Linked DNA regions of Ovis aries. The protein of the gene in region 1 interacts with the protein of each later gene in a pairwise test. Links are inferred from orthologs where the notes say so. Each region holds a gene or a part of one and is shown in the gene's direction. Other genes may lie near its edges. The genes, in order: RGS2, NIPSNAP1, PRKN, LRFN1, DDR1, WDR74 and CTSB.

What was found.
Region 2: the proteins of RGS2 (region 1) and NIPSNAP1 interact in a two-hybrid assay, tested with the Homo sapiens proteins (2 studies listed by BioGRID and IntAct). The link is inferred for Ovis aries from reciprocal best matches to the Homo sapiens genes RGS2 and NIPSNAP1.
Region 3: the proteins of RGS2 (region 1) and PRKN interact in binary tests that used the Homo sapiens proteins (3 or more experiments, as listed by UniProt). The link is inferred for Ovis aries from reciprocal best matches to the Homo sapiens genes RGS2 and PRKN.
Region 4: the proteins of RGS2 (region 1) and LRFN1 interact in a two-hybrid assay, tested with the Homo sapiens proteins (2 studies listed by BioGRID and IntAct). The link is inferred for Ovis aries from reciprocal best matches to the Homo sapiens genes RGS2 and LRFN1.
Region 5: the proteins of RGS2 (region 1) and DDR1 interact in a two-hybrid assay, tested with the Homo sapiens proteins (2 studies listed by BioGRID and IntAct). The link is inferred for Ovis aries from reciprocal best matches to the Homo sapiens genes RGS2 and DDR1.
Region 6: the proteins of RGS2 (region 1) and WDR74 interact in a two-hybrid assay, tested with the Homo sapiens proteins (2 studies listed by BioGRID and IntAct). The link is inferred for Ovis aries from reciprocal best matches to the Homo sapiens genes RGS2 and WDR74.
Region 7: the proteins of RGS2 (region 1) and CTSB interact in a two-hybrid assay, tested with the Homo sapiens proteins (2 studies listed by BioGRID and IntAct). The link is inferred for Ovis aries from reciprocal best matches to the Homo sapiens genes RGS2 and CTSB.

The regions. Positions count from the first base shown.
Region 1 is NC_056065.1:11,623,249-11,627,237, reverse strand, and holds the start of RGS2 (regulator of G-protein signaling 2), read left to right. Parts: upstream 1-1,189; 5' UTR 1,190-1,218; coding exon 1,219-1,328; intron 1,329-2,345; coding exon 2,346-2,447; intron 2,448-2,548; coding exon 2,549-2,610; intron 2,611-3,176; coding exon 3,177-3,343; intron 3,344-3,624; coding exon 3,625-3,819; 3' UTR 3,820-3,989. UniProt on the Homo sapiens protein: Regulates G protein-coupled receptor signaling cascades. Inhibits signal transduction by increasing the GTPase activity of G protein alpha subunits, thereby driving them into their inactive GDP-bound form.
Region 2 is NC_056070.1:68,751,973-68,755,472, reverse strand, and holds part of NIPSNAP1 (protein NipSnap homolog 1), read left to right. Parts: intron 1-964; exon of another isoform or gene 965-1,173; coding exon 1,174-1,234; intron 1,235-2,674; coding exon 2,675-2,802; intron 2,803-2,986; coding exon 2,987-3,032; intron 3,033-3,256; coding exon 3,257-3,351; intron 3,352-3,500.
Region 3 is NC_056061.1:85,693,519-85,697,018, reverse strand, and holds part of PRKN (E3 ubiquitin-protein ligase parkin), read left to right. Parts: intron 1-427; coding exon 428-591; intron 592-3,500. UniProt on the Homo sapiens protein: Functions within a multiprotein E3 ubiquitin ligase complex, catalyzing the covalent attachment of ubiquitin moieties onto substrate proteins. Substrates include SYT11 and VDAC1.
Region 4 is NC_056067.1:48,380,103-48,383,602, reverse strand, and holds part of LRFN1 (leucine-rich repeat and fibronectin type III domain-containing protein 1), read left to right. Parts: intron 1-1,700; 5' UTR 1,701-1,755; intron 1,756-2,168; 5' UTR 2,169-2,205; coding exon 2,206-3,500. UniProt on the Homo sapiens protein: Promotes neurite outgrowth in hippocampal neurons. Involved in the regulation and maintenance of excitatory synapses. Induces the clustering of excitatory postsynaptic proteins, including DLG4, DLGAP1, GRIA1 and GRIN1.
Region 5 is NC_056073.1:27,303,902-27,307,918, reverse strand, and holds the start of DDR1 (epithelial discoidin domain-containing receptor 1), read left to right. Parts: upstream 1-1,217; 5' UTR 1,218-1,267; coding exon 1,268-1,366; intron 1,367-2,887; exon of another isoform or gene 2,888-3,080; intron 3,081-3,150; exon of another isoform or gene 3,151-3,507; intron 3,508-3,755; exon of another isoform or gene 3,756-4,017. UniProt on the Homo sapiens protein: Tyrosine kinase that functions as a cell surface receptor for fibrillar collagen and regulates cell attachment to the extracellular matrix, remodeling of the extracellular matrix, cell migration, differentiation, survival and cell proliferation.
Region 6 is NC_056074.1:37,680,990-37,684,997, reverse strand, and holds the start of WDR74 (WD repeat-containing protein 74), read left to right. Parts: upstream 1-1,208; 5' UTR 1,209-1,231; coding exon 1,232-1,295; intron 1,296-1,376; coding exon 1,377-1,483; intron 1,484-1,568; coding exon 1,569-1,690; intron 1,691-3,663; coding exon 3,664-3,739; intron 3,740-3,871; coding exon 3,872-4,008. UniProt on the Homo sapiens protein: Regulatory protein of the MTREX-exosome complex involved in the synthesis of the 60S ribosomal subunit. Participates in an early cleavage of the pre-rRNA processing pathway in cooperation with NVL.
Region 7 is NC_056055.1:105,603,799-105,607,747, reverse strand, and holds the start of CTSB (cathepsin B), read left to right. Parts: upstream 1-1,149; 5' UTR 1,150-1,241; exon of another isoform or gene 1,242-3,949. UniProt on the Homo sapiens protein: Thiol protease which is believed to participate in intracellular degradation and turnover of proteins. Cleaves matrix extracellular phosphoglycoprotein MEPE. Involved in the solubilization of cross-linked TG/thyroglobulin in the thyroid follicle lumen.

The DNA.
Region 1 (3,989 bases):
GATGCTTCAGGAAAAACCACCTGAATATTCCACTGTACAATTCTAATAACGGTATTTGAACTCAAGTCATTTTGGAGTGGCAGTTATCTACTTACCCTTACCAATCAAACCACTTAAATCCTGCTACAGCAAGATGATTTCTGACGAATCAAGACATTAAGCTTATTCAAAGAAGCTGTAAACGCCTCCCTCCCTCCACCCCCATCTCTCTTTTTTTGCCAATTAAAGTGTTCTGGCAAATTCTAAGCCAACTAAGAGTGACTCAGGAGGAAATCCTGCATGCTTGCTCTTTTACACTAAAATGATTCTGGTGCACGATAGCTGCGAGCTCGTGGTGTTTCCTTGTTAAGAGCTGTGATTTCTTTTTTTGTTCTGGAAGGAGAAGCAGCCAAGGACTCCTGAGAAATAAGTCTGCAACCCCACGGACCGACCCAGCCACGAACCTGCTGGTAATCAAAACCGCACACCCAGTTAAAGCACTTTCTCCTCTTCCCTCCCTGACCAATGTGCATTCCCCACAGAGCTCCAGGATGCTTGGGCACGCTGCAGAACAGATCACACCACTGCCCCTGGACTCTCACTGTTCCTCCCATTCTGTTTCCTTCCCCAAATTAAAAGGCGTCTCAAAGAACAGGTGAGGGTCAGTTCTCACATCAAGAAAGGAGGCGCGGAGCGAGGGCTTGCGCTCCAAAAACACATCCCCTTTTAAACCTAATTCAAAATAAGGTTACTGCATTCGGCTTCCCAATAAACAACCTTTACCTGCTTGGAATCACGGCTCCTTTGGGGGTCAGGAGCTCTGGAGCGCGGGGGAGGGAATGAGACAGGGAAGAGGCGGGGAGCGAGCGCCCCCGCCGTGCCTGCAGCCAACCTGGCTCCCTGCCCGCCACGGCCCTGCGACCCCACGGCCGGCCGCCACGACTGGGCAAAGGTCGCCTTTGACCGTTCAAAAGGGAATTTTCTCTGACCCCACACGAGGGCGGGCGTCCGGCCCGACTGCGCACGACGCCCGGGAAGCGGACGTCAGCGGGCCCCGGGTTTCCAGACCCTTCGGCGGCGCCCGTGACCGCGCGGCCCGCGGCCGCCGTCGGCCAATCGGTGCCCGCCGGGGGAGGGACCGGCGCCGTGAGCCCCGCCTTCGCCCTGCCTCCAATTATATAAATACGGGTGCCGGCGGTCCGGTCTCCCCAGAGCGGCGTTCCCAGGTGGAGGGAGATAATGCAAAGTGCTATGTTCCTGGCTGTCCAGCACGACTGCGGACCCATGGACAAAGGCGCTGGCACCGGCCCCAAGAACGAGGAGAAGCGAGAGAAGATGAAGCGAACCCTGTGAGTGCGGCTTTCTTCCTCCCTGACTGGCCGCCCCTGCGGACCCAGCTGTCCCGGGCGGCTGCAAACGCGGTACACTCGCGCTGGGCATGGGAACTGGGTAGCCTGCCTGCATCTCTGCAGGAAAAAAAGAAAAAGAAAAAATGTGTGTGTGTGTGTAAAAGGTTAATTTGTGAAGTTACGTTTAAACCTGTGTGGTGTAGGTATTTATTGAAGGACTCGGGTAGAGTTTAGAAACTGCAGAAAATTCTTGATGCAGGGGCGGAGATAGATGCTGGTTGGCTTTTTGTCTCCCTGCATCGAAAATGACTTCGGAGAATCCTGCAGCCACGCGCCCCCGGCCTTCTTGAGAGGCACCGTAAATTCTGATCTGCTTACACGACTGCTGGGATGGAGATATTTTTGCTGATCCTAGATATACTTTTAATTTTTTTTAATTGAACAGCAAGTCTCACCCACTCAAGAGTGTGGAACAAATAATTGTTCTGCATCACCTTCTTAAAATGAGTGCTGAAGTTGGGGGAGGGGGCGGTCAATCTCGCACACACACTTCATTGTGCACAGCTTCTCGGGTGGTCCCAAGCCCCCTGCTCTGAGAGCAGAAGGAAAACGAGCCTGGGCTGGCTCAGGGCAGGTCCACTGTGGGCTTCCTCAAGTGTGAAATGTCTCAGAATTGTAATTAACCGTTGCAGAAAAACTGGCTGCCTTTTGTGGGCCAGAAATAGCATCTGCCTTTGAACTATGCAAACTAAATTCATTAAAATACCCTATAATTGTAGGTCGTCCTATCCTTACTTATAAAACTAATAATTATGTTCAGATGAGTGGATGAAACTAGTGTGTTGAGTACTTAGATGCTGGATTAAAGGAGTAAGACTGACTGGAGGAGTTGTTTTGTCTTATTTGGCTTGTCTATAGCTACTGGGGGCGACTTTATTTGGTAAAAATGCCTTCAGCTGCAATGGCAGTTTCAAGTGTTGCTGCTAAGTGAGTATCTTTTTTTTTTTTCTTTTGTAGATTAAAAGATTGGAAGAGCCGTTTGAGCTACTTCTTGCAAAATTCCTCCTCTCCTGGGAAGCCCAAAACTGGCAAGAAAAGCAAACAGCAAACCTTCATCAAGTAAGTTGAAAATCTTGTGCTTGCCAATATGCACAGCTCACTGCTGAGCTGAAGAGGGAACCTCTGGCTAGCAGGAGCTGATGTGCAGACTTCTTTTGCAGGCCTTCTCCCGAGGAAGCCCAGCTATGGTCAGAAGCATTTGATGAGCTGCTAGCCAGTAAATGTAAGTTAACCTCTTGAATTGGATCCATTTCAAGTATCAGGAGAGTATGGTTTGGTTGTGTCTACACAGCAAGAGCAGCTTGCCCAAGGAGAGTTTGACTTTACAATCCCTGTTCCATGGGGCCTATTTTTCTCCTTTATTTCCCGGTGATTAACCAGGGAAATGCGTGGCTTTTTCACTCTAGGTGGGGAGTGGGGGGAAATAGCCCCAGATTGTAATGGCAGTTGCTGTCTCTTAAGGTTGAGTCAGCTTTTCCATTGCAAACAATGTTTTCAAGCGGCTTCATTCCCAAAGAACTTATGGCTCCCCTATCAGTTGTGTTAACAGCAAAGCTAAGTTTATATTTTTGTAGTAGTGTGCCAACTCACGCATTTTGCTGACTGGCATCTTAGTCTTTAAAGAGCTAAATTTTGACAATTACAGGTTTGAGTAAACTCAAGAAAATTGCTGCCATCTGGCAATAATAAAATATGGGACCAGGGGAGTGGGATTTCTAGGAAAACACATAAGGGAATATTTGAACACTCAATGCAGTTTCTGCATGCTTTCTTCCTTCCCTCCCCCAGATGGTCTTGCTGCATTCAGGGCTTTTTTAAAATCTGAATACTGTGAAGAAAATATTGAATTCTGGCTGGCCTGTGAAGACTTCAAAAAAACCAAGTCACCCCAAAAGCTGTCCTCAAAAGCAAAGAAAATATATACTGACTTCATAGAAAAAGAAGCTCCAAAAGAGGTAAAGGGGGAAAAAGTTCCTTATTTCAGCATATTTTGAACATCCTCAGCACCAAAGTGAAAATAATTTAAAGAGACCTCAAGTTAAAGGGGGGTGGGTGAGTAGGCTGTTTTTCCCCTATTTCTGGCTCTCAGTGAGGTTAATTATATTTCTTCACTGACTTAGCCGGTGACACTGGCCACACATTATAGTTTGGGGGTTTTTTTGTTTGTTTTCAAATACTACATATATTTCAACTTCTGACTCTTAATGTGGAATAAAACTTTGTTGTTTTCTTTCAGATCAACATAGACTTTCAAACCAAAACTCTGATTGCCCAAAACATACAGGAAGCTACCAGTGGCTGCTTCACAACTGCCCAGAAAAGGGTGTACAGCTTGATGGAAAACAACTCTTACCCGCGTTTCTTGGAGTCAGAATTCTACCAGGACTTGTGTAAAAAGCCGCAGATCACCACAGAACCCCATGCCACATGAGATGAAAGCAGGAGCCCAGAAACGGAGGACTTTTCATTTTTTTTCCTAAAAGGGGAAAGGCTGTCACCTGCCAAAAAGACTGACCTTGAATTCAGCCTGGGTGTTCAGGAAACATCACTCAGAACTATTGATTCAGAGCTGGGTAGTGAATCAGGAAGCTGGTCGCCTCG
Region 2 (3,500 bases), on another chromosome or scaffold:
TTCTTGGGACCTGCAGAAAAGGTCTTTGGAGATAGGCTGCGCCGCCCTGCTCTTTTGGCACGTGGGGAAACCGAGATGTGGAGGCAGGAAAGAGGAGGTGGGAAGAGTTGGGAGCTCCCGGACACTCCCTGGCACCCAGGTTCCAGGCTCTCTCTCCAGGGCTGGCCGCTTGGCTGTTTATCTTGGTCAATGCTGATGTTAATAAATTACTCAAGGCCAGTCCTGGAGCAAAGGTCTTGGTTGACAAAGAGTAGGAGTTGCTGTCCTCTCGGTCACCACCCCTTCTGGGGGACACAGCCTCTCTACATTCAAACCAAAGGTCAGGTCCTTCCACCAGTGGCTTTGCTAAAAAACACCTGCTTCTTTAGAGTATCTCCCTGATGCTAGTTCCCGCAGTTGGTACCTGACCTGAGGGGGGAGCTGGCTTTAGAGGAGAGAGCTCTAGGCTCTTTCCAGAGCTCTCTGCCCGTTTGCTGTGTGACCTCAGACAAGTTTCTTAACCCTCCCACCCATGACCTTCTATTTTCTTGTCTCGAAAATGGAGATATGAATAGTATTAACGTTATATTCTCGTTGTGTAGATTTAGCGGGATCCTGGTACTGACAAGCTGATCACGGGTCCCTGGCAGAGGCTATCCTCAGCCAGTGTTAGCCATAGTGAGGCTCTGGTCCCGTTTCCACAGACCGCATTGGCCATCTGATGACAATTGCTTTTTTTTTTTTTTTAATTAAAAATTTTAAAACACTGAAGTGTAGTGTTTGCCTGGTGGCTCAGATGGTAAAGAATCTGCTTGCAATGCATGAGACCCAGGTTCAATCGCTGGGTCAGGAAGATCCCCTGGGAAAAGGAATGGCTTTATATATATATGGCTTTATTTATATATATTTATATATATATATATATATATATACTTTTAATGGCTTTTTATATATAATGACTTTTTATATATATATTCTTTTTCAGATTTTTTTTTTTTTTGACTGCATGGTATGCGGGATCTTAGTTCCCTGACCAGGGATCAAACTATAGCCCCCTGAAGTGGACGTTCAGAGTCTTAACCACTGGACCACCAGGGAAGTTTGTGCCTTTTTGCTTTTAATGAAGCAGTACACACACAACCGTAGAAAGCCTATGAATTCAGAAATATTTAAAAGTTTGTTTTTTTTTTTTAGCTTTACAAAAAATTTTCATGAATAACGAAAAGTTTAACCATCTTCCTCTTCCCTCTCCCAGGTAAGCAGTATTAACGGCGTGGGGCTGAGAGTTCCCCAGTGGCCTAGTTAGGACTCGATGTTTTCACTGCTGTGACCCGGGCTCATTCCCTGGTCAAGGAACTAGGGTCCTGCAGGCCTCCTGGTGTGGCCAAAACCAAACAAACTAACAAAAAAAAAAAACAGTTCGGAACAAATCCTTACTTACCTTTCCTCTGTGCTCATACAAATATATCATCATTTTTAGGGTGCTGTTCAGATTTTATCAGTCCCAGTGCTCAATCCAGATTTTGGAGAAAAGCAATACTTTGATTTGCAAGACATTTATTCTAGCCATAGGAAAGGCTCGAAAAAGAAGAGAACTTGCTGATGGGGCCCCCACAGCCAGGCTCCTGGGCTGGAACTCATCTAGCAGGAGGCTGGCATTTCAGGCCTGGCTACAAGCCTCACTGCTGCTGCTAAGTAAAATGATTTACCACCTCTGGCAGCCCAAACATAACCCCAGCCGGCTGGGATGTTGTGTGGGGGAGTGCAGTTATGATCTGGCAGGACCTGGTGCTTGGTCCCCCTGCTCTGAACAAGGCATGTCATTTATTCATTCAGCCACGTGCACAGGGCAGGTATTTGTCAATTAAGTGTTGGCTGAATGAATGAATGAATCTTGCCTTCTGATGCCTTTGACCCCCTCTATCTGCCTTTATCTGCCAAATCAGCCCTGGAGATTTGGAAACTGGCCAGATCACCTCCATCGGAGAGCTCACCCAGACTTCCAGGGGTCAAGATCAGGCTCACTCATCTGGGCTCTCCCAGAGACCTCTGGCTGTAACTGTGTTCCAAGGTCCACTTCTTTCAGTGGACTGAGACCTCCTCAAAGACAGAGCGTGTGTGTCTCAGGCGCTCCATTTGTGGGGGCTGCATCAGGCACGGGCCAGGTGTCGTGTGAGAACTGGGGAGGACCGTGGGTGCAGGCTTCTCGTCAGAGGGGACAGAAATTGCAAAGAAAGCGCAGAGTGAAAGAATCTGGTGTGTTCAGGGGGAGGCGCACCTGGAGAGCAGGATGTACAGGTCGGGGGTGGACCGGAGGGGAGGCTGCCAGCGTAGGTTGGGCTGTCACAGGTTTTAGACACCAGGCCAGATGTGTTTGGGGTTCACCCTTTTGGCAAGGGATACAGTTGCAGGGTCCAAGTGTTGGACCTCTTGGAAGGGGGTGAAGGGGAGGCAAGGAGGCTGGAGAGAGAGGCGGGAGGTGGGGCTGCCTCTCGTGGCCTCCTGAGGCTCTGCAGAGTTTCAAGAAGCGAACTGGGCAGCCAGGATCCCTGTGGCTGGCTCCAGTGACATGAAATCCGCTGGAGCTGCCATGGGATTCTGTGGCCCCATTCCCAGAAAAGTGGTCACCAGCCTCGGGAAGCACGGCGTCTGGGCAGACGGAAGCAGGTGCCCCTTGAACTCCTCTGTCCCGCAGCTTCTATTCCAAGGACAATGAAGGCAGCTGGTTTCGGTCCCTCTTCGTACACAAGGTGGACCCCCGGAAGGACGCCCACTCCACGCTGCTGTCCAAGAAGGAGACCAGCAACCTCTATAAGATCCAGTGTGAGTGGCTGCTGAGTCAGCCGACCTGCCTTCCCGGGGACCTGCGAGGCTCCTGCTGGGGACTTGAAGAGGGTCTGGGACATCTGAGCTGTGCTGGGAGCCCAGGCCCTGGGGGGCTACCCCATCCCAGCTTCCCACACCCCCTCCCCTCGCTTCACCTCCCGTTCTCTGTCCTCTGTCACAGTTCACAATGTGAAGCCTGAGTGTCTGGACGCCTACAACAGCCTGACGTGAGTGAGCCTAACCCTCCCGTCCCCGCCCCGCCTGGATGGGGGACTCTGTCCCGGCCCTGTTCTCCGTGCACAAATCCGGGGGCTGTAGGTTTCAGAGCCACACGTCCTGTGCGGCCTCTGCATGTTAGCGTCCTGAGGGCCTGAGTCGGAAGCCTTATCCCAGGAGCTCTGGGGGCTGGTGTGAGCCCTCCCCTTTCTCTGTGACGCCCCCCCACGCACAGGGAGGCCGTGCTGCCCAAGCTGCACCTGGATGAGGACTACCCCTGCTCGCTCGTGGGCAACTGGAACACGTGGTACGGGGAGCAGGACCAGGCAGGTGAGCTGCCCACCCCCAGCACAGATGGCTGCCCTCCACGCCCCCGCACAGCGGTGCCCAGAGGGGTCCTTCTCTGCGCAGTGCTCATGGACTTCCTCCCCTGCTCACGTCTGTGATGGCTCCCTCGGCCCTTGGGGTGGCCCACGAGG
Region 3 (3,500 bases), on another chromosome or scaffold:
ACATGACGCCTTTGATTTTTTATTAAGGGGGATGCCGTAGAGGCAGTGTGAGTTTGTACAGGCTGTCAGAGCTGAATCTCCTGGATAAACTCTTGGGAATCTCACAATTCCAATCAAGCAAGTGTTCTGCTTGAGTCCCCCTGTTTCGCAGGACGATGTCAAAGGGAGCATGCAATTTTGTTTGTGGGTCACTGCCTAATATATGAAAGGGAAATCCCATAGGATAACTCCATTTTTCTCCAAATGTTGCTCCATAGCCTTAAGCTTTATAAGTGAAAGAAAATGCACACTGCTTATCAAAGGGCAGGAGAGGGGCAAATCAATTCAGAAATATTGCACTGCCATTAAGGATTGCCATTAAATGCAATTGCCATTTAAGGGTTTTGACTAAAGCTTCGTGTGTTGTTTTTTTTTTTTTTTGGTCCAGTGTTTGTCAGGTTCAACTCTAACCACGGGTTCCCAGTGGAGGTCGATTCTGACACCAGCATCTTCCAGCTCAAGGAGGTGGTTGCTAAGCGACAGGGGGTTCCAGCTGACCAGCTGTGTGTGATTTTCGCAGGGAAGGAGCTTCGGAATGGCTTGACAGTGCAGGTGAGTCTCCCTGGGCGGAGGGTTCCTGGGCTGCGGCCAGCCCCATTGCTTATGCCGCTTGCGCAGCCAAGCTGACATTCATGCCTGAGATCTAATAGAATAAATAGTGCCTAGGGATTCCTTGAACTTTACTCCACACCGCTTCATTAATTCTGACCTTCTTAATTATGCATTAAAACAGCAAGCAGGTACGGATTGGAGAACAACTGTGACTGGGAGAGAGAAGAGAGAGAGAGCGAGCACACAGACTGGGCTTAGTGAATAAATGTTTACTGACTAGAGGAGCAGCAAGGCACCGTTTCTGGGTCTGTTCAATTTCTACCGTACTTATTCCACTTGAATCTTAATGAAGGAGTCACAGAAATTGTCCCAGATCCGGCTGCTCAGTCACTGTGCCGGGAGGGATCTGCAACCCAATTGTGACCCCTGGAGGATGGTCCCGGGTCTGCCGCCGCAGCTCAGGATGGGAGGAGGTTTTGGGGCTCAGGGCCTTGGAGCAGATTCGCGAGCTCCCTGCCCATCAGCGCCCGAGGCGGCGGGGAGGAGGACGCACGCACCGCGAACGTCAACCTGTGTGTTTAATTTCTCCAAGTTTCAGTAACAAGTTCCCCAGAATGGGCCGCTGAAATGTTGGGGAGGGTGCAGCCAGTGTTTTACTCTCCTGTCCCTGACGCTTTCCTGGCACCGTGGGGCTCCTCATAGCATCACAGCGCTGTATCTTTTCATGGAGTGGGGGTGGGGCTTCATTCCCAGCTGGTATTTCCGCAGGGGAAGAGGTGAACTGGGCAGGCCATTGGGGAGCAGTGCCTTCCTCTGGGAGTGGAGACCAGTCTTGTGTTGGGGAAGCCAGCAAACAGGCCCCAATACGGATTGAAGTCACTCTCTGAGAAAGTATGAAAACCCACTTGCTTTCTGTGAACTGTTCAGGTGATCCTGAAGAACCCCAAACACATTCCCCGCGTCCCCCTTTTTTCACCAGCTCAGATGAGTTGCATTTCTGCCTGCAGCTGTTTGGGGGCCTGCTCTTGTGAACAGTGGTGGTGGTGGGGTGCTGTGTCTTTACCCAGTCCCTACTTTATTGACATCCTATGGCTGTCTCTTTTTGGTGATGATGTTTACTGCTTTAAGAAAGGCTTTCGGATCTGGGTGTAAGAGAGCCCTATGGAAATGTGAATTGCCCCCTCTTCTCCAGCACCCCTTCTCTGACAGCAGTCTGCTCTGCTCCGTGCACACAGGGTGCTGTGCTTTGCTTTTAGGCAATTTGTGTTTATAAGGGAAGCACCTGTGCTGAAAAGTGTTTTGGTGTTTTTTTTTTTTTTTTTTTTTTTTAAATTTCAGTCACCTAGAAAGCTTTTTTTTACTGTACCTGCCAAGCTCTAAAACCAAGGATGTTCCCATCATAAATTATTTTAAAACAGCTTCTTGAACCAAAATATTTTGTTATCCGAAGTTTTCAGGTTCTAAAGTTTCTCACCTCTACCGCTGGAGGTGATAGGTTATACCAATTACTATAGACAGTTGATTTCTACAGATGGATAGATACAAATATAGATATCTGGATGGGTTCATTAAGATTCTTGATTTTCACAACACTTCCAGTATTCTGGGCTTCTGAGAGGATCCCAAAGAAAGTCAGTACCCACTGCTATTTTCTTAGAGACTGCTGTTGACTTAGGCCCTCTAAAATCAACAGTAATACTAGATTGAACTACATAGGTTAAAAATATCAGCAGTTTCATGGGGCTCAAACTAATAGCTATAACATAAGGGTGTCAAACACGATAACTGCCATATAAAAACTGAAATATAAGTATTATGAAATTTTAAAGATGTAGGAGAAACAGCTGAGTGAATGTCACCAATAAAGACTTCAGGGTGAGTTGAAACTCAAGTAGGATTCTGGAGATGAAGAATGAGCGTGAGAGGTGTGTGGGAGCAAGCAAAGGGTCCTATTCCTGTAGAACCTAGAGGAGGTGCTGAAGGTGTGTGACAGGGGAATTGGGAGCTGTGTTTTAGAAAGCTTTGACCCATGTGACATTGACGTTTCATGCGAGGAGATGGAGAACAAAATAGGATGCCATGGAGGGAAAAGCGAGTCTGGAAATGCCGGTTCACCACTGGCGGGAGTTTCCCAGATTGCAAGAGTTAATGCCAGGGGGAGATGCTGGCAGGCAGTCACACTGAGGTGGGGAGCTCAGGGCTTGCTCTGAGCACTCTCTGCATGGAGGTAAGTACCGCAGTGACTGGAACAGATTCAGTTGCCGGGGTGCAGAGCGTACGGCACGAGCAGTTCCTCCGGTAACAGGAGAGGAGCCGATATACGAGGCATTGTGCATCCAGCTGGCATTTTCATGGATAATTTGGGGAAAGAAAATCACTAGTAAAGAATGTATGTGCCGTGAAAACATGGAGGACAAGGAAGCAAAGAGCCTTTGGGCTTGGTGACAGTGGTGGTGACTTAGGGGCTTTCGGGCCAGGACTGTAGCTGGAGAAAGTCAGCTTGCAGGGGTTCAGTGTGAATCGCGGGCTTTGTCACAGGCACAGCTCGTCTGGTCATGGAGGGAAGGAGAGACTGGGAGTTCATGGAGGAGCAGCAGCTTCCGCACTGTGTCCTGCCTTTCACAGCCCTTGACTGTGCGCATGGCTGACTTTGATACAGTTGTAATCGGTGTGAAAATGCAATTTTATGTAGTGAATTTCTTTCCCTGAACATTATGTCGAGAGAAGGCAATGGCACCCCACTCCAGTGCTCTTGCCTAGAAAATCCTGTGGATGGAGGAGCCTGGTAGGCTGCAGTCCATGGGGTCACTAAGAGTCAGACATGACTGAGCGACTTCACTTGCATTTTTCACTTTCCTGCATTGGAGAAGGAAATGGCAACCCACTCCAGTGTTCTTGCCTGGAGAATC
Region 4 (3,500 bases), on another chromosome or scaffold:
CTACTCTAAGCATGTTACAGTGGATTATCTCATTTAATCCTCACAATAACCCTATGCTGTCATCCCCATTTGACAGATGAACACACTGAGGCCCAAAGGGAGGAAGTCACATGGCAGGGAATTGGGGTGTGAACCTGGGCAGTTGGGGGCCAGATTCTGTCCTGCAATGCCATGCTGCCTCTCCAGAAATGTTAGCTGTTTTTATTGTTAGTATTACACTGTTTCAACTTGAGTTCCACCCTCACTGCGGGCCTTCTGGTTTCATAGATAGTGGTTCTGAGCCCCAGAGAGCTTAGAGCCATGCAGGTGCAGAGCTGCGTCTCCTACTTCAGGAGCACCACCTCCCAGGCCAGGATTTCCTGTCGGGAGGTAGAGCAGTGTCCCAGAGGGAGTGCACAACATTAGTGGTGGTGGTGGGGGGGCGTCGCTCAGAGGTGAAGCGATGCTCTGACTTTGCCTCTTTTTCTTTTTTCAGCCGCATCACTGTCTTCTTCAGTCTCTTTCTTCTGGTCTTCGTCTGTGTAACACTCTTATTTTCTCTTCTTGTCTCTCCCTCTCTCCAACTCGTTGTCTCAGTCTCTCTTTTCTGTGTGGGTCTCCTCCACTCAATTTTTCTCCCTTTGCCACCGACTTGCTCCCTGTCTCTTCACCTGTCTTTCAGATTCTTTCTCTTGTCTCTTTCTGTCTCTCTCTGAATCCTTCTCTGTGTCTGCCAGTTCATCCCTCCCTCCCCCTTGTCTCTCTCTGACTCTCTTGGTCCCTTCTCTGTGTCCACAGTCCCCCTTTACCCGTGGGCTGAAGGATCAGGGCCATATGAGGCCACAGCCCCAAACTGCAGATTCCTGGGAGGTGGGCCAGCAGGGACTGGGGCATGGGGTGGGGTGAAAACAGTGTCAGGGACACCCCCTTCCCATCCTTTCCTCTTCACCCCCCACCCACCCCGTGTTGTGATGGGAGCTGGCATGTCGTGGGCTGCAGCTGCCGCAGGGGGAATCCCAGCCGGAAGGTTTTGCCTGGAGCAGAGGCACAGCCTGACTGTGTGTGTGTGTGTGTGTGTGTGTGTGTCTGTGTGTGTAGGCATGTATAGGGCCTTGTGTTGTGCCTATTAATGTGAGCATGAAAGTCTGCCCCCAGCTTGGGCCCTCAGCAGAGGCCAGAAGGAAACCAGGCTCAGAGAAGGACTTCCCAAGACTGAGCAGGGAGACTGGTATTTTCTCAGCCCCTCCCACCTTCAGTACAACCCCCATTCCCCACTGCCAAAGGTGTGTGTGGGGGTGTTACCCTTAACATTTATTGAATATGTACTGTGTGCTTGGCCCTATGCTCCGTGACCCCTATGAATGAGCTCACTGAACTCTTGCAACAATCCAGTGACAATAGTACAATTATCAGACCACTTTACAAATCAGGAAATTATGGCCTAGTTCGGGAAAATCATCAGTTTGGGTCACAGAGTTAGTAAGTTGGGGGAGCCAGGACTTGAACCCGAGTCTATTTGATTTGAAAGCCCTTGCTCTTAATAGTAGCGCACATTTATATGCATGGCACCTACTGGACGCTCAATGACGATGATGATAATAGTTACACACTAACATGTATTGAACACATTTTATGTGCCAGGCACTGTTCTGAGTATACCATGCTCATTAATCCAGTTCATCCTCACAGAGGTAAGGCCTGTTTTTGTCTCCGTTTTACAGATGAAGAAACCGAGATTCAGAGAGGTTCAGACACTTGCCCAAGATCACACAGCTAGTAAGTGTCAGAGCTGGGATTTAAACCCAGGGAGTATGGCTTTGAAATCCATGACTTTAAACCCCAGTCAGCAGTGATTTTTCAAAATATTTAGTGGGTACTAGAAGGCGCAGGCCAGGCCAGATGTCATCCCTCTGGTTGAGAGGTCATGAGAGGTCTGGGAGCTCCTGGAAGAGGGGCAGAGGCGGGGGTTAGACACTCAGAGGTGGGGCAGTGGTAATTTACCAAGCAGCGTGGAAGTGATGTGATCTGTTCACAAGTGCATGCCAGCTGAGGATCAGTCCTGTCACTGTCCTGCAGGACCCCGTTGTCAGGAAGGGACAGATGTGGGTCAGACTCCGAGCGGGACATCCCAGGGTGGCCAGGCAGGTGGTCAAGCCCTACGCCTGGCTGACCCTTCTCCTTCCTTGCAGATCTCACCTCCCGCTCCTCCCGCCTCCCCCCTGCACCATGGCTCCGGGCCCCTTCTCAGTGCTCCTCTCGCTGCCGCCTACTGCCCTGCCCTTTCTGCTGCTCCTCTGGGCAGGGGCATCACGGGGCCAGACCTGCCCTGGCCGCTGCATCTGCCAGAACGTGGCGCCCACGCTGACCATGCTGTGCGCCAAGACTGGCTTGCTCTTCGTGCCGCCCGCTATCGACCGGCGCGTGGTGGAGCTGCGGCTCACCGACAACTTTATCGCGGCCATCCGCCGCCGAGACTTCGCCAACATGACCAGCCTGGTGCACCTCACCCTCTCCCGGAACACCATTGGCCAGGTGGCGGCCGGCGCCTTTGCGGACCTGCGCGCCCTCCGCGCCCTGCACCTCGACAGCAACCGGCTGGCAGAGGTCCGAGGGGACCAGCTCCGGGGTTTGGGCAACCTCCGGCACCTGATCCTGGGCAACAACCAGATCCGCCGGGTGGAGTCGGCTGCTTTCGACGCCTTCCTGTCCACCGTGGAGGACCTGGATCTGTCCTACAACAACCTGGAGGCTCTGCCCTGGGAGGCTGTGGGCCAGATGGTGAACCTAAACACCCTCACCCTGGACCACAACCTCATCGATCACATCGCCGAAGGGACCTTTGTGCAGCTTCACAAACTGGTTCGCCTGGATATGACCTCCAACCGCCTGCATAAACTGCCCCCTGATGGGCTCTTCCTGAGGTCCCAAGGTCCGGGACCCAAGCCGCCCACACCGCTCACGGTCAGCTTCGGCGGCAACCCCCTGCACTGCAACTGTGAGCTGCTGTGGTTGCGGCGGCTGACCAGGGAGGACGACCTGGAGACGTGCGCCACGCCGGAGCATCTCACCGACCGCTACTTCTGGTCCATCCCCGAGGAGGAGTTTCTGTGTGAGCCTCCGCTGATCACGCGGCAGGCAGGCGGCCGGGCCCTGGTGGTGGAGGGCCAGGCCGTCAGCCTGCGGTGCCGCGCCGTGGGGGACCCTGAGCCTGTGGTGCACTGGGTGGCACCCGACGGGCGCCTGCTGGGGAACTCGAGCCGGACCCGGGTCCGGGGGGATGGGACCCTGGATGTAACCATCACCACCTTGCGGGACAGTGGCACCTTCACTTGCATCGCCTCTAACGCCGCCGGGGAAGCCACCGCACCCGTGGAGGTGTGCGTGGTGCCTCTGCCTCTGATGGCGCCCCCGCCTGCTGCCCCGCCACCTCTCACGGAGCCTGGCTCCTCGGACATCGCCACGCCTGGCCGACCTGGAGCCAATGAGTCGGCGGCTGAGCGCCGGCTTGTGGCGGCGGAGCT
Region 5 (4,017 bases), on another chromosome or scaffold:
CTGCCCCTCTCCTGGGTTCCCACAGCCCCTTCCAGCTCTGACTATAGCACGGGTCAGGGTGTCTTCTGTGATTCTGTACATATACAAGCACACACACATATACATATATAAATACATATTTTACACATGTATATACTTGCCTGGCTCCCCTTCTAGACTGTAAATGCCCAGAGGATGCAGAGGGGGTTGTATTCCTCAATGTATCCTTCGCAGTTCTTACTGTCAGAACCCTGCCCTGCACAAACCTTTCATAACTGTAGGATGAATTGGCAGGTGGGACTCAGGGACCCAAGTGACCCATAAGAAAAGACACAGATGGAGATTCTGTTAGTGGGGTTTTGATGGTTGTCTCCATCAGTGGAGCCTGTATGCCATCCCACATTATCATCTCAGCAGACCCCGGGATCGGGTACTTAATGCCATCTTTCTGATGAGGAGACTGAGAGGCTGTAGGACTCAGCCAGAGGAGCTAGATGGCAGATGGCGGATGGCAGTTTCGATCCTTGCTTCTCAGCAGCAAAGCCTGGCTCTCTCTCCTTCCCTTTTGGTACTTTGCTTCCTCTCACGTGAGACCTTGTCACTGTTCCCTCCTGGCTCCACTCCCTCCAGGCCTAATCGGGCCCCTTTGGCTTTGGGGAGCATATTTTATAAGTCAAGAATCAGAGTACATGTTGACTGACGTTGCTGTTTATACTTCAAAGATGACCGGTCAGAATATCTGAAAGTGGGCTTGTTCTTGAAAACTTGAGTGTGCCTATAGGGCCTGGGTGCTTCTTATGCTTTGGTGTAACTGGCGGGAGCCACTCACCGTATAATACTTTGGGGGTAGCCAACTAGGATGCTGGTATTCTTGTTCTCCCCAGAAGGGAAGAGAGAATTCCTGAGGGAAGGAAATGAATTGCTAGGGACCCAGAAGGAGGCCTCGGAAGGACCACTGTTAATCTCTTCTCCCACCTCCTGTCCGTTTGTCCTCCTGGATTCTCCCCGCTCAGCAGGACCTAATGCCTGTTGCCTCTCAGCCTCAGGCTGCTGCTGCTGCTTTCTCCCTCACTGCCTCGCGGCCTCCCTTCGCCTCCCTTTGTCTGGGGTCTTTGTCTGTGGTCCCTGCGGTCCACAGTCCTCGGCCTCCCCTCCCTTTCTCCCTGGCCTGGCTGCTCCCTCCCTCTCTGCGGGGGCTGGGAGGCTCGGCGAGGGGAGCGGGCTGCGTTGCCATGGTCACATCGAAGCCGGCCGCAGCTGGCCCGGGCAGCTGCTCCTGGGGCTCCGGATGGGCGGACAAAGCCAGGCGGCCTTGGCAGCCCCAGAGCCGGAACCCCAAAGCCCTGAGACGGGGGGGACTGCAACCCAGGAGAACCTTGAGCTGGAGGTGAGAGGGAGGAAGCCAGAGCCCAACCGGGAGGGCAGGAGGGGGACTGCCGCTGGGCCCTCCCCTCTCAGGGAGGGACCGGGTGGTCCAGGCTGGAGGTGTGGTGGGAGGAGGGGAGTGCAGCCGAGCCCACGGGGTGGGGAGGAGGGAAAGGATGGGGAACAGAGTTGGGGCCGAGGTGTGGCAGATGGGCTAGGGCTAGGCTGTTTCCAAGGGGAGTTCTGGGACCCTCGTGCCCTGACACCCGGAGGCAGATTCACTTCAACCTTTGGAATTGGGGCCCCTGTCCCCCTAGTCTGTCCCTTAGTTTTCCCTTCCCATTTCAGCCCCTTACTCTTCTCTTCTCCCAGGTCCCTTCCTTTCAATCCCTATGCTTCGGTCTTCCTCTTCTCCCATCTCTGGATTCCAGCCGCCTCTTTTCCCCTTGGTGTATCTGCTCCCCTTTTGAGGAGGAGATACTCTTCTCTGTCCTCCTCTCTGAGCATCCCTCCCACCCTTTCCTGCCTCCACTCCAGTTCTCTCGCTTGCCCAGCCCTTCTCCCCAAACTCTGGTCTTCCCATCTTCTGCTGAGCGCCCTCTGTCTTCATTCTCCCTTTCTCTCTCCGATCCCCAGTTCCCCTCTACCGCAGCCTAGTTTATCCCCTGCTCTCAGAACTCTCTTGCCGGGGCCTCGTCTCTCTCCATCCCCCAGGCTGCCCACAGCTGAGCTCTGTCCCATCTTCCTCCCTGTGCTACATCATCTCTTCCTCCTCCTCTCAGGCCTCAGTTTCCCAAGTGGACTTGGTGGCATCAAGGCCTGTCTCACACTCCGGGCCTTCTCCACCCCCTCACCCTGCCCCCCCACCCCCCAGAGGATTCTCTCCCCAGCTGCTGACCCAGCCTGCTTGTCCCAGAGGCAGCTGCCTCTCCCAGGAAGGGGACAGCAACTTGTGTGGAGGGCCCATCCTCTCTCTCACTGGTCCTGCTGGGCTTCCCTGTAGTGGCCCGGTGGTCTGCAGGCTGGAGCTGCTCTCCCCTACGTGCTTCGCCTCACATTTTCCCCAGCTGTTCCTCCTCTTTCCTGGGCAGCAGGAAGCCATTGGCTTGAAGGGGAGGGAAGCCCGGAATGGAAGGACGTGGAGGGAGGAGGGGTAGAGGGTCCTCTGGGGGCTCAGGAGGACATGGGGGCCTACTGGAGTTGGGAGTGATTCGGGAGATGTGGGCGGGCTCTGGGGACCACCGACCGCTGTGTGGATACACTAGGTGTGTGGATACACTCAGTCCTGGGTACTACTCTGGGGGCCTGGATGGCAGGGACTTCCCTCTCTGGCCCCTGAGAGTCTCGGCTCAGAGCCTTGCATTCCAGCCGGCTCCAGCCCCCTCTCCGCTGTCACTTGACTCCACTGGGCCCCAGTCCTGCATCCCTCCCACTCCTCTAGCTCTGGGCTGGGATGAGGTGGGCATCACCAACTAGGAATGTCTCCTGGGGACAAGAGGGAGCAAGGGTTTCAGGAGTCTATGGTTTCTTTGACTCTCTGCAGTGGACTCCTCGGTCTGGCACCGCCATGCCACCTGGCCAGGGTCAGCGTGCGCCTGGGGTGTGGAATGTCCCACTGGGGTGTGAGGGGCTGTGACTCCTTCCCTGAGGGATCTGGCGGCAGCTCAGCCCGGCTGCCCGCCCGGGGCTTCCCGGGAACAACAGCCCCGGGAAGGAGGGGCCGAGAGTCCACCCAGGTGAGGTTACTCGGGAAACCTTGGCCCCACCCCCGGCGGGCCCCACCCCCGGCCCGGCCTCTCCGGGCCCAGATTCCCCTGCGGCCGACTCTGGAGGGGGAAGGTACGCCGGGGAACCCTGGGGCTTTGGTGGGAGGGGACAGAGAGGCAATTCTACGGGGCGGTCTGTTAGTGAGTCCCTTAGCAGTTGGGGTTCCCGAAGGTTTGTGGGTTGACCCGGGGTTGGAGTACGTGCCCATGTGTGCCTTCCCCTCTCCCAAGGGCCCATCTCTACCTGGTAGTGCCCTTGTGTACTTATCCAGGACGTCGTGTTTCTTTCTTGGGACTGTTGTCTGGGTCTGCACGTAGGGTGAGTTTCTGTCTACTTGCTCTGAGGTGCAATGGGGCAGAGATCTGCAGTGGCGTGAGGCCCTACCCTACCCTGCAGGTGATTGGCAGGTGTGGGGGGTGGAGAGAGGTGGTGGGCCCCCGGTAGCCCCTGAGCGGGGTGGAACACCTCCCCGCACAGCTCTTCTGTCCTGCCCACCTCACCCAGCAGCTCTCTGCTCTTTCTCTCACTGGATCTGTTTACTCAGTCTCTTGGCACCCAGCTTCTCGGTACCGCTCCTTTTTGACTGTGTGATTTTCTCTTTGCCTCCCTGTCCTCCTCCTCACCCCCGCTGCTCACCTGTCCAGGCCCGTCCTTGCCAGCGATCAGACCTTCTGACCCAGGGTCAGAGCTGCCTGGGCCTGAGGGGGCCCTATCCTGAGGAGGACGCTGAGGCTTTGAGCAGGTAGCCAGGGGAAACAGGGCCTCGGAGTCTGGACGCTAGGGTCCTTGAGAGAGACTGGGAAGGGCCTTGCTGGCTTGTGGGGAGGAACTGGAAGGTGGAAGTCGAGGAACGGGCTGGGAGAGGTGGAGCTGGTCCTCAGGCTGGGCTGGGGTGTAGGGGACCGG
Region 6 (4,008 bases), on another chromosome or scaffold:
AGAGTCGCCAAAGCCGTCGGGTCCGACTTAGCAACTAAATAACTACAATTTTAAAAATAGTGACGTGCACATATTAGAGAAGTTATTTGCCGTAGGGAAGATATTGAGTAGTGCTTCAGTTCAGTTCCGTCGCTCAGTCGTGTCCGACTCTTTGCGACCCTATGAATCGCAGCATGCCAGGCCTCCCTGTCCATCACCAACTCCTGGAGTTCACTCAGACTCACGTCTATCGAGTCAGTGCTTATTACACCTCTTTATAACGGGTAAGTTTCCTGATCTAGTTCCCTCTACTTGAAAACTGTAGGTGTGCACCGGGCCTTACAGCGAGGAAGACTTTCGAGCAGAGAAATAAATGGTTGAACGTCTCATAAAGGGAAATCATAGTATTTCAGGGAAAGAGATCGTTCAGATTTACTTTAGGGTCTGTGAGGGGCAGTAATGGTGGTTGTGGTGTGTTTCCGCATGGCTTGCCTAGAATGTTAAGCTCCGGAACTTATTGGCAGTTCTCCAACTAAGGTGGTATTCAAGATTGTTTCTCTGTGGAGGACAGATCTGCCAGGCAAGAGTGGGATGCTCTATGCTTACTGATATAATTTCAAGTAGCAAAGTTTCTGAGACTTTTATTTCAGACAAGTCATTCAAAGAAGGGGGCCGTTATGAGATTTTAAAGTTGGAGCTTATCTTTGGAAAAACTGTTTCTTTTAATTTTGTAGATCTTCATTGCCCATGGTGCTGTTTTATACCATCAGCAAATCTCAATGTGAGGAAATAAAAGTAACGCCCCTACCCTTCACTTTCCAAAAGTGAAGCTCATCGGTTTCATTTCCCCCAACTTTGTTCATTTTGTCCTATTACGCTTTAAGTTGAAGCCATGCGCTTCATTAGTGATTTGAATCGTTCCTTAAATGAGCTCTTTTCTTCTCTTGTACAGAAAACATACATTGCTTTAGAGCAGAGGAACAGACTAGGGCTGCCTGGATCCCATATCGTGGTTGAGATAGTATGCCTTCTACTCCAAATGTAAAATGGTCAAGTTACTGTTCAGATCTCCACAAACAAGTCTCCAGATTTCATTTTTGTAAAAAGCAAAACCAGCTAGCGGGGAGAATATGTTTTACTCTTCCGGTTCTTTAAAGGCCTAGAAATGGAGTTCCTCCGGATCCGACTAGACGCAGACTGGTGACGCAGGCGTTGCGCCGGAAGTGGGAGCCTTGGGTTCCCGAGCTCCGCTATGGCGGCTGCGGCTGCACCGTGGAACCATGTGTGGGTTGGCACCGACACTGGCATCCTGAAAGGTGGGTAGCGAGGTCGGGCGTCGGGAACTGCGGGCTTCGCCGTTTCGCTATTCTGACTCAACTGACGTCCGTGTCCCGCAGGAGTGAACCTTCAGCGCAAACAGGCGGCGAACTTCACGGCGTCAGGACAGCCCCGGCGCGAAGAGGCGGTGAGCGCCCTGTGTTGGGGTGCGGATGGCGAGACACAGGTGAGCGACCGCTGAGAGTCGGAGCTGGGAGTCTGGGGCGCGGCCGCCTCGCTCTCCTCGCCATCCTGTGCTCCTCTGCCCGCAGATCCTAGTGGGCTGTGCCGATGGGACAGTGAAGCACTTCAGCACCGAGGAAGGCAGGTTCCAGGGCCAGAGGCAATGTCCTGGAGGGGAGGGCACGTTCCGAGGCCTCGCCCAGGTCGACGGGTAAGACCAAACCCCTTGCAGAAACGCTCAGGTCGTAGCGAGAGCGTTGAGGCTCCCACTGGACGACCGAGTAGTGGCAATCAATCCTGAGGTGACATGAACCTGGTCTGCGTGACAGGGACGTTTTTCCTGCCTTCGTCCGTTCTTTCCTATAACAAACATTTATGGAACACTTATTCGGTTGTTTATAGGCACTGGGCAAAATCCAAAGGCTTAGGTAAACCACAGTATCTGCCATCATAGAGTTCGCTACTTCCAGAGTTTTGTTTTTTGGCATAATAACCTTTTGGATGACCCTGAGCACGTTATTTAATAGTTTGAAAGTAAAAGTGTTAGTCGCTCAGTCGTGTCCCACTCTTTGCAGCCCGCTGGACTCCTCTGTCTGGGGTTTTCCAGGCAAGAATACTGGAGCGAATTGCCATTTCCTTCTCCAGCGAATCTTCCCCAGTTTCCGGCACTGCAGGATACCACCTGCAGTGCAGGAGATTCTTTACCAACTGAGCCACTAGGGAAGTTTAGAATATGTTTTTAAATGCGGGCTAACAACCACTAACAAAGTGGCAAAGCTCCTAAAGAATAAGAAATGCTGGGTTGCAGGCTTAGTTTTCTTCTGAAGGTGAAGAGAGAGGCTATGAGCTGACTGTAGGTTTGGTGAGGTTAATTCTGACAGGTGAGTCTGGAAGGCTGGAGCGGGGGAGGAGGAATATTTGAACTTGGCCTTGAAGGTTGGGTAGAATTTTGACAGATGGAGAAAGGAGTAAGGGCATTCTAGAAGGAGGCTCCTGCTTGAGCAGAGGCCAAGGATTGGTGTGAGGCTACAGGGCACATCACAGGGAAGATAAACAGCATTTGGGGGTTAAAGAGAAGACTCTTGAGAGTCCCTTGGACTGCAAAGAGATCAAACCAGTCAGTCTTAAAGGAAATCAGTCCTGAATATGCATTACTCCAGTACTTTGGCCACCTGATACAAAGAACTGCTGGAAAAGATTGAAAGCAGGAGAAGAGAATGACAGAGGATGAGATGGTTGGATGGCATCACCAGTTCGATGGACAGGAGTTTGGGCAAGCTCCAGGAGTTGGTGATGGTCAGGGAAACCTCAAGTGCTGCAGTCAATGGGGTCGCAAAAAGTCAGACACAACTGAGCGACTAAACTGAACTGGGGGTTGAAGCCCAGGAAACTTTTTTTTCCCCCTTTTTAAAAATTTATGAGGAAGCATTTTAATATAAGATGAACGAGGTAAGTTGGGATTTAAGGCAAAGTGCTTTTAAGTGTCAGGTTGAGCAATCTGCGGTTTTGTAGGTAATGAGGCATGATTGGTTTCTGAGCAGGAAACACTGTGTTCAGAGCTGTGAGCCTGCAGGAACGTGGAGATGGATTGGAGACTGTTGCCACAGCCCAGGAAAACCCAGAGCCTGAACCTAGTTGTGGAGGGTGGGCAGATATGAGAAAAAGCAGAGGGCTTGGGCTGTACAGATCCTGGGGAGAGATTGGCTTGTCTGGTCTGACACCCAGAACAGGGAACTTGAGAGAGGAAGCTGGTGTTTGATTCTGACCAAACACTAAATCCAGAGCAGTCCCAATTCAGTGCTTTCAGAGCTCTGACTCCTGGTGACCACATCAAGAAAAACCAGCAGGGCCATGTGCCCCAGGTGGAGCTGTGGAATAGCAAAGACTTTGCAGTATCACAGTCTTGATTGCAGCTCTGATTCTGACATTTATAGCTAAGTGGCAAATCTTATAATTTTTTGTAGCTTCACTTTCCTTACTTATAAGACCAGTAAACCATTAGCTTGACGAGAAATTAAATAACAGCCATCAAGCCCCGCCCAGACCTGAGTTACCTGGAGGCTTCCTTAGGAACAGGGCTGGTAGGAGGGAGTCTAGTTCATATGAATTTGGGGGTGGGTCGACTGGGGACAGAGAATGCCATTTACCCCTGCTCTTTTAACTCTATCCTCCCTTTGCCTGCAGCACCCTCATCACATGTGTGGATTCTGGGATTCTTCGAGTTTGGCCTGACCAGGACAAGGAGGCATCCTCTGACCCAGTGAGATCCCCCCTCATCCTGATCCTGATGGTTGGGGAAGGTGGGGCCCAGGGTAGAGCCAATGAAGGCTTTGGAGGAGGAGGATTAAGGATCTGGAAGTGACTCTCATCTCCGCTCTCTCATTCTTTTCAGCTCCTGGAACTGAGGGTGGGCCCTGGGGTATGTAGGATGCGCCAAGACCCAGCACGCCCCCACATCGTTGCCACAGGTGGGAAGGAGAATGCTCTGAAGGTGTGGGACCTGCAGGGGTCTGAGGAGCCTTTGTTCAG
Region 7 (3,949 bases), on another chromosome or scaffold:
GGTTGTCATCCGCATTAGATCATCAGTGGATTCACGGAGCAGGGTGGGACTTGACCCCTCCACCCAAACATCTCCATCAGGCTCTCCAGGCATCCCCACCCTGAAGTAAACTCCAGATATAACATTGTGCTTGCTATGTACATCCTCTTTGGGACAGGCCACCTGGCACCCCTTCTTCGAAATGGATTTTTGCCTGTCATGCCTTTACAGAAATTCTGATGCACCTCTTGAAATTAGTATTCCGTGGTAATAACTCAGGCTTCCCTGGAAGCTCAGCTGGTAAAGAATCCGTCTGCAGTGCAGGAGACCCTGGCTGGATTCCCGAGTAAGATCCCCTGGAGAAGGGATATGCTACCCACTCCAGTATTCTTGGGCTTCCCTGGTGGCTCAGGCGGTAAATAAGAATCCACCTGTTAACGTGAGACACCTGGGTTCGATCCCTGGGTTGGAAAGATCCCCTGGAGGAGGGCATGGCAACCCACACCAGTATTCTTGTTGGGCTTCCCTGGTTGCTCAGATGGTAAAGAACCCGCCTGCAATGCGGGGGACATGGGTTTGATCTCAGGGTTGGGAAGATTCCCTGGAGAAGGGAACCAGCTACCCACTCCAGTACTCTTGCCTGGAGAATTCCATGAACAGAGGACTACTTTAAAAAAAAAAAAATTCTCACATATCTGATAGGGACATTCTATTAAAGCTAACAGCCTTTTAAGGCTCTTCTGGGAAGCCTGCTGGTTCGCTGCCCCCATCTCTGGCAGTGGTTTCTAGATCAATGAAATAAGGAAAAACTATCCTCTTCCCACAAGTAGGGATCGAGGCTTTGATACGCTGCGTCCTGTCCAGGGCGGCCCCGGGGAATTTCGCCAGGCGGGGTGAGGCCCCGAGGGCCGCCTGCAGTCCCCTTCTTCTCTGCAAGGGTCCCAGTGCGCCGGGGGTAGACAGGAGGAACTCAGAAACCCTGCTCCCGGGCGCCCCGACGAGCCGGTGCCTGGAGATACGCCGGGTATAAGCAGAGCCCCAGCGAAGCTGGGCGCGGGAGGACACGTGACGCTCCAGTAGGGGCGGGGAGTGTGTGGTCACGTGACGAGTCAGCCGGGCACGGGGCGGGGCCCGGCGCTGTACTTAGCTCGGGGGCGGCTGCGGGCAGCTACGGCGGCTGCTCAGGCACCAGCGTCAGCGGCTCCCCGGACACTCAGGGTGCAGGCCCAGGCCCTCGGCGGCGGCGGCGGCGGCGGAGCGCGGTGAGTGCGGGCGGGCGAGGGGATGCCGAAGCCGGCGTCCCGGGCCGTTGGAAGCGGGGACCCTCGGGGAGTCGCAGCCAGGCGAACCGAGCGGCATCGCGCCCTCCCGGACGTGGTTGTGATGAAAAAAGCAAGCTCTGCGCGCGGGCTGCCGGGCTGCACTGCCGGTCCGGGAAGCTCGTGCCCCGTCTCGGGTGCTGTTCGGACCCCGGGCCGGGTCACCCGACCCCACGGTCCGCCGTCTCCAGAGCTGGAGGCGGGGAGTTTGCCGGCGGACCCGAGGGAGGAGTCTGAGAGGAAGAGCTTGGCCTGGATCCCCGCTGACTTTGGAAAACCTCAGCCTGACTCCCCAGCCCCGTGTGAGCTTCTGTTCCTCGGTTTTCTTAGAAGATCGCTGAATTGATAGGAAATACTATCAACATCTGTCTTAGTTGTTTTCTTTCTGTAAATGATTTTCCTGGGCAACTTTCTGCACACAGTCACACAGTTCCAGGCACCCCAAAAGACAGGAGCTGGGAAACAGGGACCTGGAACTGGGTGGAACGGGGTGGGACCTACAGGAAGAGTTAAATCCACAGATGGAGGGAGGAGAAGCTAAGCAGAGGGAGGACAGGGGGCTTTAGGGCCCGGGGTGCCAGCCTCTTCCCTGGGAGTGTGAGGGGAGTGGAATGGCGGCCCCAGCCCTGCACTGCTAAGGAAGGGAGTCAGGCTTGGGCCCAGGGTGCTGTGGGAGCGGGGATGCAGGGCAGAGTCCCTGGGGCATCGCCTGCCCCTCCGCTGATGACTCTGGAGGTCTGGGAGAGGGAGCATTGTGAGGTGACTGAATCTGGGAGTCAGCCAGGCCGTTCTGGTAGATGTGAATTGGATTTGCTTGCTTTATGGGCCTTGGTCTACCCCTTCCCCAGGCACTGAGGAAGCCAATAGGCAGACACAGAGAGAAGGATAGGCCCCATATCCCTCTGAGACCCATACCCAGTTGGAGGGGCATGGGGTTCAAAGGGAGACCTAGCCCCTTTGGTTACCTTGGAAAAACAACCCTTCAGGCGCCTTCACTAGGGGCATAGCTGCCAAGGTACATCCATCCAGTTGAATCTTTAGATGCAGGGTGATAAGACAAAGAGCCTTAGCGGTGTGTCTGGATTGGTTAAAGGCTACTTTCCTTTTCTTCTCTCATAACGTTGTTAACTTCATGGAAGATTGTTTCCTGTTGGCGCTGGTAATGGTAACCCTTAAGCTTTGTGGAGAAACAGGTTGGGCTGCCCCACTCTGTGGCTTTCCCAAAGAAGGTGCCCTGGATTCACTCAAATCTCTTAGGGGCATCTGTCCTAGAGCTGGGGTGCTGCCAAGTGGAAAGGTGCAGATCCCTTATCTGGGGGTTTCACAGGCCCAGGGGGAGGCAACTTGGACCAGACGAGAGCCCTGATTCCAATTACCTCTGCTGCCGCTGGGTCAGGACAGCCCTTTTTCGGAAGGTGGAAGCCCTTTGTCTTCAGGAGGCACCTGCCTGTGTGTTGCTGACTCAGCAGCTTGAGCCGAGGCCCTCCTTATGGACTGGCTGTTTCCCCAACTGCTGGCCTTGGGAGTTGGGAGTAGGAAGTTGCATGCCTTTTAGGGCTTAAGATTTCTTTTGTTTCCACTGGCAGCTGCATTGGGGAGTGAAGGAAGAGTGCTTTCAGGTGAACCTGGGAAAGTTGGTTGGGTGGTTTTCTTAAATGTGGTGATGAGTTGTGATTGTGTTGAATATCCCCGTCCTTGGGAGAGAAGGACTGAAATGTTTCGGGATGAGAACCCACAATGTCTGTTTGTTTTTGACAGTTTGGCAGAAGGCAAGTATTGGAAATATGAGAGGTTGAACTGTATGAAATGGTGATTTTTTGTAGGTCAAGGAGCATTGAGATCGGGCACCTTGATAGAGTTCAGGCTCGGGTGTAGGGTGGTCGGGGTTGACAGCAGGTTGATGGATCTAGCTAAGCAACATGCAGGTGTTTGTTGGACTCACTGGGTATTAGGAGGCAGTTGTCACTCTGCCCCTGGTCCTGGGTCTTCATTTTTCTTGGTTTACACTCAGTGCCCTGGGTCTTCATCTTTCTTGGTTAACACTTAGGGCCCACTCCAGAGCTGCTTAAGCCAGGTGCTTGAGAAATGACTCCTGAGTCCCTCCATGGCTGATATGTTTACCTTCTACCCTAGTTTGGGTAGGAGGGGGATCTAGGGATCAAACATCATATAAATATTTGGCTTCAGTCTCTTTTTAAAGCCCAAGCCTCATCCCCACCTGCTTTCTGCCCTACCCACAGCTTCCTTGTCTCAGCCTTGTGTGTTTGGGTGGGGAGGAGGGTGGGTGGTGGAGTCAGGGCCTTCCCTCCTGGTCACAGGCCCCCTCTGCAGGCAGCAACTTTCAGCTTCTTTTCTGCAAGTCTGTGTCTAGTTCCTAAGGGACATTGTAACTCCTATCTGCTTTCTCCTCTCTGTCTCTCTTTTTTTTTTTTGATGTGGACCATTTTTAAAGTCTTTATTGAGTGTGTTACAACATTGCTTCTGTTTTATGCTTTGGCTTTTGGGCCACTTAGGTATGTGGGATCTTAGCTCCCCAACCAGCCAAGAATCTCAGATCCCTACCGCCTTGCATTGGAAGGCAAAGTCTTAATCACTGGACTGCCAGGAATGTCCCTGCTCTTCTCTTTCTAATTTTCCTGCGTGACTTTTTT